Linked DNA regions of Callithrix jacchus. Each later gene encodes a partner of the first gene's protein in a complex. Links are inferred from orthologs where the notes say so. Each region holds a gene or a part of one and is shown on either strand. Other genes may lie near its edges.

Region 1 (3,651 bases):
TCTTCTGTTGACTTTAAAAAGGGAAGTGGAAGTCAACAGAAATTGAGTTTGACGTCAATTTGAAAATAGCTCTGCAGCCCTTTATCCTGCAGGGAAGGCTTAAATATATGATGAGGACTTGATGGCTAATGGCAAACTGCCCCAGCCTTTTTCCTACCACAGAGGAAATACCCAACCTCAATTCCTCCATGTTCAGCTTGGAAAACAATAAAGACCAAAACCTTGAATTGGGCCTCCGGCGGTCCAGTGATGATAACCATACGAACTTTGGAGTCAGGTGTTTCAGGTGGTGCAATCTAAAGAGCAAAAAAGCTAATCAATGATGGACCCGCCATGGGAAGACCCCCACCATACCTACTTCATCCAGTTCCCCTTTACCACCCTTACTCGAACTACCCATTCTGAAGACTTAGGAAAGGAAGAACAAAGACCCTGAAGCCCACATCATCACCCCTGCACACCAGAATTATTAGGAGGGCAGAGGTGATCAGTTAGAAGGACTGGCTTCAATGACATTTTCTAAGTAGGACCTCCTGCCCCCTCCACCTACCAATCTCCTGATCTCCCAAGAGGTTTCAGTGGAGTCTTGCCAACAGGTAAGGACATAAATAAAATGACCAACAGATAGAGGACAATAACTGCACCTCCACTGGGGAGCAATCAAGTTTTCTGCCCAACGCCTTTAAGACAACTGAAGCAACTGGGTTTAGTTTGTGAAAATTAACAGTACCTTTGTTTCACGATGACAGATCTCCCTTCTCTCTCCCCTAGACACTGGCTAGGGAAGGTGACAAATAATCAACACTTGGTGTTACTATGTGAGCCAAAGGTTTTGGCTGCATAGCCTCATTACATTGTACTGATGAGGAAAGTGAGACTCAGATCACATAGCGTATGGGGGAAGGGGTGATAAAGTGGGTCTGGGATTTGAACCCAATTCTATTTGTGTTAGAACCTAAGTTCTCTTTCTATGTTACAACCCTGCCCTGCCCAGCCTGAAAACCCAGAAGCACTGAAGCCATTCCATGGGGATCAAGCAAGGTTAAAAAGAAAGAGGACTGCAATTCTATGGGGGAAAGCCCCCTCACATGAGACACAGAATTCTCAAATGAGTATGGGGAATCTGGGAGAAAGTATAGAGTGATAGAAGCAGAGCCCCCTCCCTTTCCAGAAACAGGAAGACCCACAGAGCAGATCACCTTGATGGAGGCGCTGGCAAACCGGGAAAGCTGTTTGATGTGCTGCCCCTTCTTGCCGATGATGGCGCCCACTGCCTGGGCGGGAATAAACACCTGCACCATCTCCTGCTCGGGAGCCTGCTGCCAGGACACAGAATGTTATTACCTGGGGGACCAAGGAGCAGGGCCCAGAAACCCTCCATTCCCCTGCCTTGCATCCTCACTCAACGAGGAAGGAGTAAAGGGAAAAGGCCAGGAAAGAGTGAGGAAACAGTGCTGCCTGTGCCCCGACAGCATTCTAGGCAGACACTTGGGAACCTTAGAGCCAGTGGCTAGGAGCAATAGAGAGGAGGGACACCCCAAGCCCTTCCTTCCCTCTGCCTGCAAAATGGCCAGGCAGCCAACTCCCATAGGGTGCTTGGCCCCCCGTTAAAGGAGGCTACATATGGGCCCAGGGGTCCCATGTAATAAGAGCTTCCACCTACCATAAAGGAGCTATAGGGAGCAGCCCCAGTAACGCTGCTGGGAGGTGGCGGGACTGCGCTGGACGAGGCTGGGAAAAGACCTACAGCAGCCAGGTTCAGGCCAGGGATTAGGTGAGACTGAAGCTGTGGAAGAAAGGTGAGGAGGAGGAGTCAGCACACCCTGACAGGGCCTGGTAGTCCCTTGTGTGTGGCCCTGGCTGAACCAGAAGGGCAAGGAGCCCCAGAGCCAAAAACATTAATTACATGCTTTTACACAAAAGCGTACTTTGTGCTTTTCATACACTCTCACCTACACACTTCGGGTGTGAAATTTTAAGTGATAGGATGTTCTCATTGGACTAAGGGCTAGCAACAGCAACCAGAAATGCCAAAGTTACACAACCTCAGAAGTCCTTTCTCTCTGGCTGTTCAGACTGCTGGAGACAGATAATAGACTCATGACACTCTATTATAATGCCCCTATATAAGAAAAGAAGGTACAGAAACAGAGTTCCATTTGACTTCTAGGACTCTGGTTCTAAAAATTTTTGGTCTGTACCCCAACCCAAGTCTCCTTTAAAAAATGAGATAAGCTGCATGAATTGGCTCATGCTTATAATCCTAGTACTTTGGGAGGCCAAGGCAGGAGAATCATTTGAGCCCAGGAGTTCAAGACCAACCTGGGTGACACAGCAAGACCCTGTCTCAAAAAAGTAAAATTTTAAAAAATTAGCTGGGCATGGTGGTGCACACCTGTAGTCTCCTAGGTACTTGGGAGGCTGAGGCAGGAGTATCCCTTGAGCCCAGAAGGTCAAGGCTGCAGTAAGCTATGATCGTGCCATTGTGCTCCAACTGGGCAACAGAGCAAGACCCTGTCTCAATAAAATAAAATAAAGAAAAAAAAAGATATAAAAATCAGATGAAAATGATGAACCTCCCCACTTCACTAAAGTGCACACAAACACAAATTGTACACATACTTGGAACCACATACTTGGACTCAAAGCCCAAGATTGGACCCCTATCCTAGGAACCAGGTGAAGAATCCTTGCTAATTAAATACAATTTAAAAACCTATTTCTCACTGCCAAGGTCCAAAAGCATCAACTAAAGCTTCAAGGCCACATGGCACAGGGCACATATCCATCACCCCGTACCCCACCAGCTGCTACTGCTAAGACTCAGGAAAGGATAACCAGAGGATTCTAGCCCAGCACTCACGCTCATGGCAGCCACATCATTCTCGTAGGCCTCTCGAACTTTCTTCATTATTTCCTGCTCAGCCCTGCAACAATTCTCAATGGCCCCCTTCACAGTGATGGTCCTCTCAGGGTTGTAGAGGGTAAGGTCCTGCAACCTGGCAGGAAGAGCAGAGCCGTGTCCTTTCACTGGCAGGCCAGGACCAGGCCCCGGAAGGAACAAAGACAAGAGGCCAGCTGAGTCACAGGCCTACCATTTCTGCAGGCTAGTCAACTTCCGGCAAACGATTCTGCATCTCCAGTATTTGGTGTCCCCAGTTTGTAACCAGGGCAGGGGGTAAGATGGAGGGAGATGACAACACCCAGCTCAAACCCCTCTGTTAGCAAATGGATCCAATCGCAGACAGATTATGGTTGCTGGTCAAACAGGAAAGAGAATTGTGCCGCCAAGTTTCTCCACTGATTCTACACAATCCATGTTCTGTACCTTTTTGGACAAGAGCAACTACTTTGCCCACAGGCTAGTCTCTGATGAAATAAACAGGCACACTGCTTGCAGCAGCAGCCCACCACAGACAGAAAAGGGCCAGAGTCACTTCTCATAGTGACAGCCCTAAAGCCCTGAGTCCCTAGCTCCTAGTTGCAGGCTGTCCTCAAGCCACAGAGAAACAGGGCTGTGATGTGATTGGACATGGACTACAGAGGCAGCACCCTACAACACCCCCACCTCATATGACAGTGGAAATGGGCAAATCCAGTCCTTATAGAGATTTTTTTAAATACTTTTTACCATTTCGACTATTTTTCTTC
Region 2 (3,651 bases), on another chromosome or scaffold:
CCTTCCTCTCACTGTTTTGTTCAATCCTGAATTCTCAAATATTTCTGGTGTCAGCCTTTTCAAACCTTCAGGTTGTAAAGGAGTGATACATTTGTTGATTGTTTTCTTTCATATTTTGTCTTTCTGAACGGTTTGGGCTTGGTAGCACTTGGTGACTTTAAGAACAGTAAGATACCTAAGTGTGCCCTAAAGCTCATCGTTGCAGACATTTTTTGTTATCAGTATCTTAAAGATTTCTGATACAAAGCAATGAAGAATTCAGGAAAAGACAATGAGAGGCACAGACAATTGGGGGAGCCAGGACAGCATTCCTGTATGGCCTTTTATTTAAAGGCATAACAGACAGCAACACCAGAGGTCTGTGTTCATAATACACATGTGCTGCTGCTTAGGCTGAACTAAGCAATCACATGGGAAACTATTGTAAACTGATTTCTGGTGTCGCTGTTCCCCCTAGGTGGAGGAGAATGAGATTGAGTGCTGACTTTAAGCCTGGCTGAGAAACATACTGGCATCGATGTCATTAATGAAAGGGTGGATGTTGTTCCCCTGAAAGCCAGTGGCCTTTGACCCCTGAAGCCGCTGTGCCTGAAGGTCAGTTCACAAGAGGTATAGGAAGGAGTCTAACATTTATTTTTTCTTAAGCCTCACCCAGCCTTTTATTCACAGCACAAAGTCTAGGTTTAGAATGTATCTGAGCAGTGAAAGGACCAGAATGCATAGAATTTCAAAGGGCAGTTTTTCCCTTGTGAAAATCTAAATTCATTTTCTAGACTCCACAAGCAGTTTGAGATATAATGTGACAGCATGTGTTTTGTTCTCCAGGACCTGATTTAAATAAATGTCATATAAATAGGCTAAATTTTTGTCATCCAGGGCCGCTTCCAACTGCAGGCAGATGTGAGAGCTCTGCCTTAGGAGCCATTGATGTGCACAAAATGAATGTGCATGTGTGAGTTTGCGTATATTAGCTTAATCCTAACAGATTGCAGTTCATAATGGGTGGCCTATGCAGAAGAATCTTAAAATAATTCTAACAGTAGTGTAAAGCATTTTGGGCCTACTTTATTTCTTGGCTCCAAGCTAAGTGGAAAATTCCTTTTCATTGAATGTGTTCTTGCTGTTCAGACTCCAGCCTTTGGAATAAGAGTAAGTAAATATAAAATCTAAAACCCTAACGTTTTCCTTTCATGAACAATTGGCTCATCGACTTTGATTATAGTTGTCTTATGCCGTGTTGTATATTTGAAGTTTATATACTTCATTTGTTCTAGGGTTGGGCAGAAATAAATGTTGGTAATTTTTTTTCTCTGTGATTTGCCTAAGCAGTTGGAAAGCCTGCCTGACTTGGGAGACCTGGATTTGCCAATTTCTAACAGTGAAATTTCTAACCTTGCTTGTATGTGTTGTTACAGGAGCTTTATTGCAGAAATGACCATTTATATCAAGCAGCTGGGCAGAAGTAAGTCACTGTTTCCCCGATATTCCAAGACTTTGTATAGAGAAGCTGTATTATTGAAAGAGCACATAATGTAAGATAGCATCTAGGGTATATTTTAGAATATTAGTAATTATAGACGTTAGAGAAAGTCTTCTAGTTTACGTATGAAGCAGACCATGTTAGTGTAATGTTTGAAAGGTAAGATAAAGCAGGATGATTAGGAGTCTGCCATTGTCAAAGAATTTTAAAACTTTTTTATATGTAAAATAAGTTATTTTGAGTGGATGGGAAATATTAAGGGATAAAGGCAGGCTAACTTCTGTCATATATTAATAGAATAAAAAGGAACTAGAAGCTGTGGCATACACTATATTTTAAGACTTTTGTACCTAAGCCCATGGTTCCTGGTGATAAGACTTACTTGATTAGGGGTTCCTGGTTTCTCACTTACTTGATTGGGGTTAATTTGGCTAGTTAGGCAGAAAGATACCTTTGTACCCCTTTGCATTATATTCATTTCTCCTAAAACTGAATGATACTGGGGAAGAAGAAACTTTCTATTAGTATTTTCTTCAAGGATACGAGTAGCTGTTAGCTTCTGTTTAATGCTGAGGTCAGCAAACTATAGCCGTCTGGCCAAATCCAATGTACTGCCTGTTTTTATAAGTGTTCTATTTGAACATAGCTACACTCATAACTAAACTTATTCCTTTGTCAGAGGACAGCAAACTCTTTCTATAAAGCACTAGGTGATAATATTCTAGACTTCACAGGTCATACATTTTAATTTTTATTTTATTTTTACAACTCTTGAAAAACATAAAACCATTCCCAGGCCTATGGTTTGTCAAACTATTGTCTGTGGCCGCTTTCATGCATTAGAGGCAGAGTTGAGTAGTTGTGACAGAGACTATGGCCTGCAAATCCTAAGATATTTATTAACCCTTTATGGAAAAAGTTTTCCAAATCCTGGTCTAGGTAACCACTCTGGACCTGATTACATTTATTGGTTTATTTTTTTACTCTTTGACTTCTTAAAAGTCAGACTATGTTTTCTTACCATATTTTAATGCCTGATGATAATAACACTGACAACCTTTAAAATAGGTTTTTGCTTTCATAATACTGAATTGTATGAGTCCTAGTATCAGCCTGTAGTCAAAACAGTGGGTTATTTAGTTGATAAACTGTTTGGCAATTTCTTTTGTTTATCATATATTAATAGAATAAAAAGGAACTAAAAGCCGTGGCATACACTATATTTTAAGACTTTTGTACCTAAGCCCATGGTTCCTGGTGATAAGATGTTTTTTTACTTAAGTGATTGATCCTTCTGTCTGATAAACCCGATCTTACATTATAGGAATTTTTGCACGAGAACATGGATCAAATAAGAAATTGGCAGCACAGTCCTGTGCCCTGTCACTTGTCAGACAACTCTACCATCTTGGAGTGGTTGAAGCTTACTCTGGACTTACAAAGAAGAAGGAAGGAGAGACAGTGAGTTTTTAGATTTATAATAGACTCGTGAGATATTTTAAGATTCAATTTAGCTCTTGTTTAGTATTTGGCTAAAGAAGTCTTAATTTCAAGGAATCTTACCTCAAGAAATGAAATGGCCTTGCTAATCATCTGTGTCTGGCATGATATCCGTAATAGGAAATGAGTAAATCATAATCATTGAAGTAATTCTCTCACTAAAGGGAACTGACTGTTGGCTTAGGAATACTGTAGAATTAGTTTTGACTGTATAGTCTTAGCGCTACTAAAGTAGATTTGAGTAGTATTTATATGTGTGATCCTTTTTTGTAGGTGGAGCCTTACAAAGTAAACATCTCTCAAGATTTAGAGCATCAGCTGCAAAACATTATTCAAGAGCTAAATCTTGAGATTCTGCCCCCGGTAAGCATACAGCTATTTAGTTTACATGTATTTAGAACTCTCAGTAGACAGGCAAATCATTTTGTTGTTGTTTTTCTTATTTTTTAATAGCCTGAAGATCCTTCTGTGCCAGTGGCACTCAACATTGGCAAATTGGCTCAGTTTGAACCATCTCAACGACAAAACCAAGTGGGTGTGGTTCCTTGGTCACCTCCACAATCCAACTGGAATCCTTGGACCAGTAGCAACATTGATGAGGGGCCTCTGGCTTTTGTGAGTGCAGTATTATTTTTGAGATCAGACTCTCGTGTTTCACTCTTGAGTATGTT

What was found. Proteins that work in one complex are often made in the same cells at the same time.
Region 2: IGF2BP1 (region 1) and DHX9 share a complex: the UniProt entries of both Homo sapiens proteins name them as parts of the coding region determinant (CRD)-mediated complex. The link is inferred for Callithrix jacchus from reciprocal best matches to the Homo sapiens genes IGF2BP1 and DHX9.

The regions. Positions count from the first base shown.
Region 1 is NC_133506.1:117,249,958-117,253,608, forward strand, and holds part of IGF2BP1 (insulin-like growth factor 2 mRNA-binding protein 1), read right to left. Parts: intron 3,000-3,651; coding exon 2,864-2,999; intron 1,787-2,863; coding exon 1,664-1,786; intron 1,320-1,663; coding exon 1,200-1,319; intron 297-1,199; coding exon 222-296; intron 1-221. UniProt on the Homo sapiens protein: RNA-binding factor that recruits target transcripts to cytoplasmic protein-RNA complexes (mRNPs). This transcript 'caging' into mRNPs allows mRNA transport and transient storage.
Region 2 is NC_133519.1:41,043,830-41,047,480, forward strand, and holds part of DHX9 (ATP-dependent RNA helicase A), read left to right. Parts: intron 1-452; exon of another isoform or gene 453-594; intron 595-1,415; coding exon 1,416-1,462; intron 1,463-2,804; coding exon 2,805-2,941; intron 2,942-3,253; coding exon 3,254-3,343; intron 3,344-3,433; coding exon 3,434-3,595; intron 3,596-3,651. UniProt on the Homo sapiens protein: Multifunctional ATP-dependent nucleic acid helicase that unwinds DNA and RNA in a 3' to 5' direction and that plays important roles in many processes, such as DNA replication, transcriptional activation, post-transcriptional RNA regulation, mRNA translation and RNA-mediated gene silencing.